2 linked regions of the Sus scrofa genome follow. The protein of the gene in region 1 interacts with the protein of each later gene in a pairwise test. Links are inferred from orthologs where the notes say so. Each region holds a gene or a part of one and is shown on either strand. Other genes may lie near its edges. The genes, in order: PRR13 and LGALS3.

The links.
Region 2: the proteins of PRR13 (region 1) and LGALS3 interact in binary tests that used the Homo sapiens proteins (3 or more experiments, as listed by UniProt). The two-hybrid records come from large-scale screens. The link is inferred for Sus scrofa from reciprocal best matches to the Homo sapiens genes PRR13 and LGALS3.

What each region holds. Positions count from the first base shown.
Region 1 is NC_010447.5:18,659,225-18,663,760, forward strand, and holds the start of PRR13 (proline-rich protein 13), read left to right. Parts: upstream 1-1,589; 5' UTR 1,590-1,810; intron 1,811-1,866; exon of another isoform or gene 1,867-2,111; intron 2,112-2,279; 5' UTR 2,280-2,299; coding exon 2,300-2,318; intron 2,319-2,902; coding exon 2,903-3,331; intron 3,332-4,536. UniProt on the Homo sapiens protein: Negatively regulates TSP1 expression at the level of transcription. This down-regulation was shown to reduce taxane-induced apoptosis.
Region 2 is NC_010443.5:184,484,607-184,488,970, reverse strand, and holds the start of LGALS3 (galectin-3), read right to left. Parts: upstream 2,845-4,364; 5' UTR 2,840-2,844; coding exon 2,822-2,839; intron 1,275-2,821; coding exon 921-1,274; intron 1-920. UniProt on the Homo sapiens protein: Galactose-specific lectin which binds IgE. May mediate with the alpha-3, beta-1 integrin the stimulation by CSPG4 of endothelial cells migration.

The sequences.
Region 1 (4,536 bases):
TGGCCAAAAATTAAAACAAACAAATATAACCATGTAATTTTTTTTTTTATTTTTAGGGCCGAACCTGCAGCATACGGAAGTTCCTGGGCTAGGGGTGGAACTGCAGCTGCTGGCCTATACCACAGCCACAGCAATGCAGGATATAAGCCCCATCTTCAACCTACACCATAGCTCATGTCAACACCAGATCCTTAACCCACTGCATGGGGCCAGGGAAACCCACATTCTCATGGGTAGTAGTCCAGTTCTTTTTTTTTTTTTTTTTTTTTTTTTTTGTCTTTTTGCCATTTCCTGGGCCGCTCCCACGGCATATGGAGGGTCCCAGGCTAGGGGTTGAATGGGAGCTGTAGCCACCAGCCTATGCCAGAGCCACAGCAACGTGGGATCCGAGCTGTATCTGAGACCTACACCACAGCTCATGGCAATGCTGGATCCTTAACCCACTGAGCAAAGCCGGGGATCGAACCCACAACCTCATGGTTTCTAGTCAGATTCGTTAACCACGGAGCCACGACGGGAACTCCAGTAGTCCAGTTCTTAACCCAGTGAACCGTGCAGGAACTCCTAACCATGTAATTTCGAATTTAAATAAATTTCTATGCTGAAATAAAAAAAGAAAACACGGTCACACCTATGATTATGCACAAACTTGTACACGAATGTTCATAGCAGCAATATTCATAATAGGCAAAACATAAAAACAATTCAAATGTCCATCAGTTAATGAATGGATAAACTAAATGTGGAATATCCAAATAGTGGCATATTATTTAGTACTTCCTTCAGAAAAAAGAATGGAGTTCCCTTGTGGCACAGGAGGTTAAGGATCCCAGGTTGTCACTGCAGCAGCTTGGGTCACTGCTATGGCAAGTGTTGACTCCTGGCTTGGGAACTTCCATATGTGGTGAATGAGGCCAAAAAAAAAAAAAAAAAAAAAGAAGAAGAGGCCATTGCAGCATTCCCGTTGAGATATGATGGTAGGCTGGAAGCAGAGAAGATTGAAGAGAAGTAGAGAAATTTCAGATTTATTCGTGAAACAAACGGACCCTTCCCGATGCTGGAGCGGGAAGAGGGGAAGGTGAAGGAGAGAGCCATCAAGGATCACCTCCGGCGTTTCTGCTTTGTGCAATTCGACAGATGGCGGAGCTATGTAGTTGATACAGGGAATCCTAGGAGAGATTAGAAATCTCTGTATTTCTCCCAAGAATGTTTCTTTACTTTCTATGGACGCTGACAGAGGCGGCAATATTGAGTTTTAGGGTGAATATCGGCAGCTCCCCGCCCTTCCTTAAGCTGTGTATATATATCTGTACAACATTTATCATGGTATATTTACTTTATAAGGTGTGGCACCCACTGGACTAAGAGCTCAGAGGTCAAGGGTTGAATTTCCTCTAGGTACTCACGAACTTGCTCTGAAGCTGGCCCCGCCCACCCATAGCCCCGCCCCCAGGCATTTCCGGCCCGCTCGCCCTCTGCACCGGCCTCACCCCAGAGCGCCCAGCTCCGCCCCCACTGCAACCATTGCCTTTTAGCCTAGTGGGGACTAGAGTGATTGACGAGCATGTTCTCCAATCCTAAAGCCCAATGTTGTTATATTACCAATTCGGAGGCAGCAGAGGCGGATGCCAAAGCCTAACGTGAGAGGGTGATCGGGAAGTGAGAGTGGAGGCTGCGGAGGACGCCTCCGCCCAGGCGGTGGTATAAAGCTGACGGGACGTCAGTATTCTGTTCCTTTCTTTCTCCATTCCTGGGTGAGACGCCCCTTCGTTGCTGGGGAGCCGGGGTCTCCACTTGCCTTTTTTAAAGGGTAAGAGGGTGTGTCTAACTATATAAGCGTTTGAGGATCTTTCCTGAGCTGCCTTACCTCCTTTCGCCTCCAGGCAGGTCCTTCTGTTAGCCTGGGGTGCGGGGTCCTGTCTCCCGTCACCCATCCTTGGGGATGGTGAAGTTGTTTCAGATCCCTCCGCAGCCTATGGTGGTTAAAGTCTTCCGGGCTCGGTCAAGGAAAGGGAGAGGAGTGATGGGGATAGCGAGATTCGCGCACTCAGCCCCTCTCCCGAGGAGTTAGAATCCGCAGCCAGAGCGAGTGGAAGGTGGAGGGAAACTAGGTATTGGGGGCGAAGGAGCGGGTGGAAGGAGACATTTCTTATGTAGCGAACCTGTTAGTTCCCTGGGAGCCTACAGTGGGGCAGGAGGCGTTGAAGTTGGGCTTGGTGTCTAAATCACCCACCCACTTCTGGGCCGTCAGCTTTTAACCTTCATTTCTTTCTCCTCAGGCTGGTGAAAACCCCTGAACATGTGGAATCCCAATGCCGGTAAGTGTTTGGGGAGAATCTCTTCTCCTGCCCCAGTCCCTTTTCGGATGGGCCACAACAGGAAGTTTGTGTCCGTTTCTCCTCCACCTCTGCCCTAACCTACAAAAAAGCAAAGTCCATAGCTGCCCAGTGTCTTCCCCCAGAGTTCACTGTCTCCAGGGAACGTTACCTTTTCTTTCTCTTGTATAGGTTTGTCTCCCCTCCCCTCCATGCTCCTCTTTCTTCAGCTTTACATTTTTTCCCCCCTAGGGCCACACCTGCGGCATATGGAGGTTCCCAGGCTAGCGGTCCAATCGGAGCTGTAGCTGCAACTGCGCCACAGCCACAGCAACGCGGGATCCGAGCCGCGTCTGCGACCTACACCACAGTTCACTGCAGTTCCTTAACCCACTGAGCGAGGCCAGGGATCGAACCCACAACCTCATGGTTCCTAGTGGGATTCGTTAACCACTGAGCCACTACAGGAACTCCTCCATTTTCCTTTAAGTATTGAGTGAAAAATGGAATCCCCTTCTTTTTGTTGTTTGTTGTCAGAAGCTCTGGGCAGTTCTAATCTTAAATTTATTCTTTGCTTTTTCCACCAGGGCAGCCAGGGCCAAATCCTTACCCGCCTAACGTTGGATACCCTGGAGGTTGCCATCCTACCCATCCACCATCTGCCAACCCTCCCTTTCCTCCAGGCCCCCTTCCCACTCCTCCAGGAGTGCCCCAGGGGAATCCAGCTTTTCCCCCTGGCGGGCCTTGTTATCCTGTGCCACAGCCAGGGCATCCAGGATGCCAGCCCTCAGGTCCCTACCCACCACCTGCCCCTTGCATGCCACCTGTGAATCCATTGGCTCCTGGCATGGTAGGACCAGGCATGGTGATGGACAAGAAGATGAAGAAGAAAATGAAGAAAGCTCATAAAAAGAAGCACAAACACCACAAGCATGGCAAGGTCAGTGCCCTCTGGAGCCTGGCTAGGAAGAGGTGCCCCCTCAGAAGGACTAGGGTGGCTGGAGGTGGGAAGAGAGGTAGGTGGCAGGGACAAGGAATGGGGATTCACAGTCTGAGGACTTGGGACAGGGCATTGTGTTACTCTGGCAGATGGTGCTTCCTTTTTGTAAAGGATTCCCACTGCGAAGAATTTAATAATCTTGAAAATAATTATTAGGCTAATTGGGCCTTCTGTCTGCCAGGGGCTATGTTGAGCCTTAGAATGGCTATCAGAATCAGGTGCTTTTCTTTTTTGCCTTTCTTTTCCCAGAGCTTTGGCCTCCCCACCCCCATGCTTGTTCTGGCAAGTGGGACACACCCACTGAGGTGGTCAAATGTCAAGACCTTTGGCCAAGCAAAGTCTTATGTAATGATAGATAATAATCTGGTCCTAGTTCCTGGAATTTCTTTCTCTCCTTCACTGTTCTCAGCTTGTTGTATTAATTACGTAGGTCTTCTTGTCCAGCAGGGAAACTGAGGACAAGAGCAGTCAGTGACTCAGGCTCCAATAAAACCCTCAATTTCGTGCTCAGTCTCAGGCTAAGTATCTTCATGCCAGAGGAGTGTAAATTAGCAAGTAGCTCTCAGGACCAAGTAGTAAAAGTAGCTCTCAGAACCAACTCTGGAAGAATTGAACCAACCTTGAGATATTTAAAAAAAATTTTTAGGGCCACACCTGAGGCATATGGAAGTTCCCAGGCTAGGGGTTGAATCAGGCACCACAGCCACAGCCATGCTAGGTGCAAGTGGTGTCTGCAGCCTACAGCGCAGCTCACAGCAACGCTGGATCCCTAACCCACTGAGTGAGGCCAGGGATTGAGCCCGAATCCTCATGGATTCTAGTTGGGTTTGTTACTGCTGAGTCACAACAGGAACTCCCTTTTTTCCCCCTTCTTCTTCTTTTTTTTTTTTTTTAATTTTTAGGGCAACCTTGATCTTAAGGAGGCCTTAATTTACATTTTTCTGCTTAGCAAATTTTTTTTTTTTTTTTTTTTTTTTTTGTCTTTTTGTCTTTTTTGTTGTTGTTGCTACTTCTTGGGCCGCTTCCGCGGCATTTGGAGGTTCCCAGGCTAGGGGTTGAATCGGAGCTGTAGCCACTGGCCTACGCCAGAGCCACAACAACGCGGGATCTGAGCCAAGTCTGCAACTTACACCATAGCTCACGGCAACGCCGGATCATTAACCCACTGAGCAAGGGCAGGGACCGAACCCTCAACCTCATGGTTCCTAGTCGGATTCGTTA
Region 2 (4,364 bases), on another chromosome or scaffold:
CCCTTGTCCCCTTGCCTCAGCTGACTACATGTCTTTGGTCCAAGCTCTGCTCAAAGTCTCCCATGCCCCCAGCGCTCTCTCTTCTCTCCTCTAAGCTGACCTACAAGCAGATCAAATGCTTCCTGTGCCATCATAGTGGGATCACATCCTGAAAGGGGCTGATCCCACTCTACTATTGAACTATTTCCTCATATTAGTACATTTTCTCCCAACTAGACTATCTAGAAGGGAAGGATCTGTGTCTGAGATGTGTCTGGGATCCCACAGAGTTATATTTTTATGCTTACAATTGATTTATTAAAATGGGTTTTACTATAAAATGAAAATTCAACCCTTAGATCACAAAATTCTCTTTAGAAGGTTTTTAAAAATGAGATTACCATGGGTCCTTCAAAGGGTCCCTCTAAGGCCATGGAAATGTGGTTTAACTCTTTATTGTACCATTTCTTCATTTTGTAAAGTGGTTTTAACAATAGTATTTTATGGGGAGCTTATGGGATTGAATGAGATCATCCATGAAGAGGTACACAGCTGGCACGTTACGTACCCAGTGTTTATTAACAATAGTAACAACCCACACCTCCCCCATTTCTATGACCTTAACTTGATTTATATTAAAGCTGCTTTACAGATGCCTTCAAAAGATACATTAGCTCCTCTTTGTACTAACAGTCCACATGCTTAAACTCAACAGGAACAACAGTCTTTTCTACTGGACCAACATACACTGTGGCTGGTGGTTGCACAGCGGTTCTAGGCAGTGAGATGAAAGCTTCAAGTCTCCCTGAAGCCCTTTGCAGGTCAGGGCCCAGGGAGCACTGCAAAGTGATGGCACCACCACCTCAGACAATTGCTACATTCTTCATTAGCTATGTCCCTATCACTATATCCAGGTGTGTGAAATGACCAATTCCTCTTACCAGTGGTCCAGAAGGGGCACCATAGGGGCCAGTGGCAGGGTAGGCTCCAGGAGCACTTGGCTGTGCAGGAGGCGGGTAGGCGCCAGGCCCACCTGGTTGCCCAGGGTAGGCTCCTGGTGCGGCTGGGCCAGGATAACCAGGTGCTGTTGGGCCAGGGTAGGCCCCTGGAGGTGCCTGTCCAGGGTAGGCGCCAGGAGGTGCCTGTCCAGGGTAGGCACCAGGAGGCCCCTGCCCAGGGTAGGTGCCAGGATAGGAAGCCCCTGGATAGCCTCCTGGCCCAGCAGGCTGGTTTCCCCATGCACCAGGCCATCCTTGAGGGTTTGGTTTTCCAGACCCGGATAAAGCATCGTTAAGCTGGAAAGAAAGACATAAACCATTACAGGATGAAAAACACAAAAACAGAATTTTCAGGTAAATAGGAATATGTAATCTAAGAATTAGAAGGATAGGGTGAAGCTATGAACTTCCTATGAATAAAATTTCCCCACCTATTCACTGAGTTCCTAAGACTAAAATTAGACTTTGGGATTATACCTGCTTTATCACTTTATTCTTGCCTCCCATCATCTCAGATCATTAGGGTTGCCTTTTCCTAAGTTGCTGAAGTTGGGAGCTAGCCATCCTCTATGTAAAAGCACATATGTTCTCACTGACATGAGGAAAATAATCACAAAATCAGGATGCTCTTGGGCTGCAAGAGCTCCACCCAGCTGGCCCTGGTTGCCTTGACCTTCCCATTGCTGGGTGTCTGCTGCACGACTCCAGCTAATGAGTGGCATCCAGGATAGAACTGGAGAAGCTGCCTTGTGCACAGGGAGGGGCCTGGGAAATAGAGTCATAAGATTTGGTTTGAAATCCAGTGCCATCCATCAAGACCTCCGAAGGCTTGGAGACATCATGTTACCTGGATAGAACTTAAGTGTCTTTGTTTGTAAAATGGGAGTAATGATCTCTTTCACGAAATTACTGGGATGAACAAGTGAGGCAGCATCTGGGAGGACTCCGTATAGACTGCAAGGTGCTGGGCCAGTGTTCGTTGGTGTCCTTTCTCTCCAGGAAGAGACACTGCCTTCTCCCTTCCTGTCTCCTATGGTATTTAGCAGAGTAATGTGGTATTTACGTGATACTCAGTAAAGATTGCTGTGTTGATTGAGTATCATCCATTAGGATTGTCTGATCTTTTGTGTTCTGGGGTTTTTTTGTTTTCTTTTTTGGCCATGCCCATGGCATGCAGGAGTTCCCGGACCAAGGATTGAAACCACACCACAGCAGTGACAATGCCAGATCCTTAACCCACTGTGCCACCTAGGAACTCTGACAGTCTGAACCTTTGATGCATTAGGAATCCAAGCCCAGACCTGGTATTAGAACAACAAGCCGAGGCTGTAAAGGGAGCCCAGGGGCCTGGGGGAAGGGGAGAGAAAATCAGAGGGCTTGATGAGGAAACGTAAACTGGATTTAGGAAAATAGACTCATGGCTGTAGGTGGGGTGAGTCATTCTGTTAATTTGGGAATACTAATGGGAATTTATTTTGACTGCTTCTTAGTTCAGCATTTGGGAAGGGAGGAGGGGTAGAGGGCACCACAGTATTAAAGAAAAAAATCAGGATGCTGAGACAGCCCATTGCTCAGTGGATTTCTTAGCTCCTGCCAGCAGAATCCACCCGCTTCTGTCCTAGGCAGTTCAGTAAAGGGGTTACTGTTAGTGAGGCCCAGGCCTCTCTGCCTGGCTTTCTTCCTGAATTTGTTGCTGGAAAAACACAACTCCAGCTAACGAGTGGTGGGAGAGTTAGATGGAAACTCTGGTGACTAAAAAGAAAAAGAAAAACAAACAAAACAAAACCCTCAACCTGCATGAATGTCTACACATGAAGGTAGGAAAACAGACATAAGACACTTACCGAAAAACCGTCTGCCATTCTCCTAAAAGGAGAAGGAAAAAAAAAAAAAAAAGAGCCACAGGTTATCATTTGATCCTGAAAGATTTTTGGTTTCTGCCTGAATAACGTCACAAACAGCTCACTAAGCAGGACTAGTCCATCTACAGGGATTCTAACACAAGCCAGTCTAGTCCCCAAATACACCTAAGTCAGTAGTGGGGAGCCACAAAAATGTCTCATTTCATCGTGGGGCGGGGTCGTGCTCTGCCTGGATTGCCACACCCTATTTAACTCAGAACTAAACTCTAATCACAAGAGCCTGTGGCCTGAATCACGGGAGTAACAGCCATGCTCTGCTGCCGGTGGGAGGGAAGGAGTGAAAGTAAACAGTTTCCTAGGTAATACGTGTTTGTCCTGGTTGTCTTTGGTCCCCCTTCACCTTCCTTCCTGTGCTCTCTTTCCACCACCTCCTAAAAAGTGTTCAGTGCATTAATATCACCCACCGCCCACTCCCCTGGTGAACAAAAGCCAGGGTTCCCGTGCCCTCCCCTGGGATTTAGGAGGAAAGCAGTTGGTTGATTCCTATATTCCCCACTTTCCCCCCACAAGACGTAGTTGCTGCTGTTGGTTTAGTCCTTCATTTGCATACATTTATGTCTCTTGTGGGCTCCTAACTGGGTTTGAAGATGGAGGCAGTCAACATGTATGGTCCCTTCACAGGCCAGACGAGGTGAAAGTGATTGACCCTGTGGGCCAGACCACATGCCATGGGAAGTCACAACTGGAAAGATTACTTCCAACAGGGAAAGGACAGTGTTGTTTGAGCTAAGCCTTGAAGGAAAGGTGAGACTGTTATGTGGAGCAATAAAGAGGAAAGATGGGCACAAGTTGCTTTTTTTCTTTTTTAAAAAAATAGTTGTTATTTCAAATGAAATCTCTCACAGTAAAATGAATGAAATTAAAAAAAAAAAAAGGTCAGACGATGCAGAGGAAACCATTTTGGGTAGGATGTTACAAAAGAGGGTCAGCCTTGCCCAACGTTGCCCCAAAGGGTAGCAGCGCTGATCCTGTCCACTGTCCCCACCCTCATGCCAAGGTGCCAAGTCCCCAACCAAACAGGATGTTTTACACCTGCTCTCACTGCTGGTGTTCTAGTGATGAGGGCAGAAGGGCAGCTTTGGACTCCTCAGGCCTGAATGAGTTGTCTTGACTCAAGATCAGCTGGGTATGGCCAAAATTACCCGGATCTTAAAACTATCAGAATCTTTTTCCTTAAGTGGCTTACTTGCCATAGTTCTGTTATTTGAAGAAACGAACCAATAAATGGTGGCTACTTGATGGGTTCTTAGGTTCCTTGATCGGCTCCCAAGAGGACAGAAACAAACCCCTCCCACCCCCCAAATATGGCTGTTCACCTTGGAGATCTGCCATGGACACCACTCCCAGAATGTGGATGCCCAAGTTGGGCAGCAAGAAACAATGGCAGAAAACAACTGCCCGCATAGATTAACCACCTGTAAGGATTAACTGCCCTCTGTCATGGAACTCAACCCCTACCCCTCCC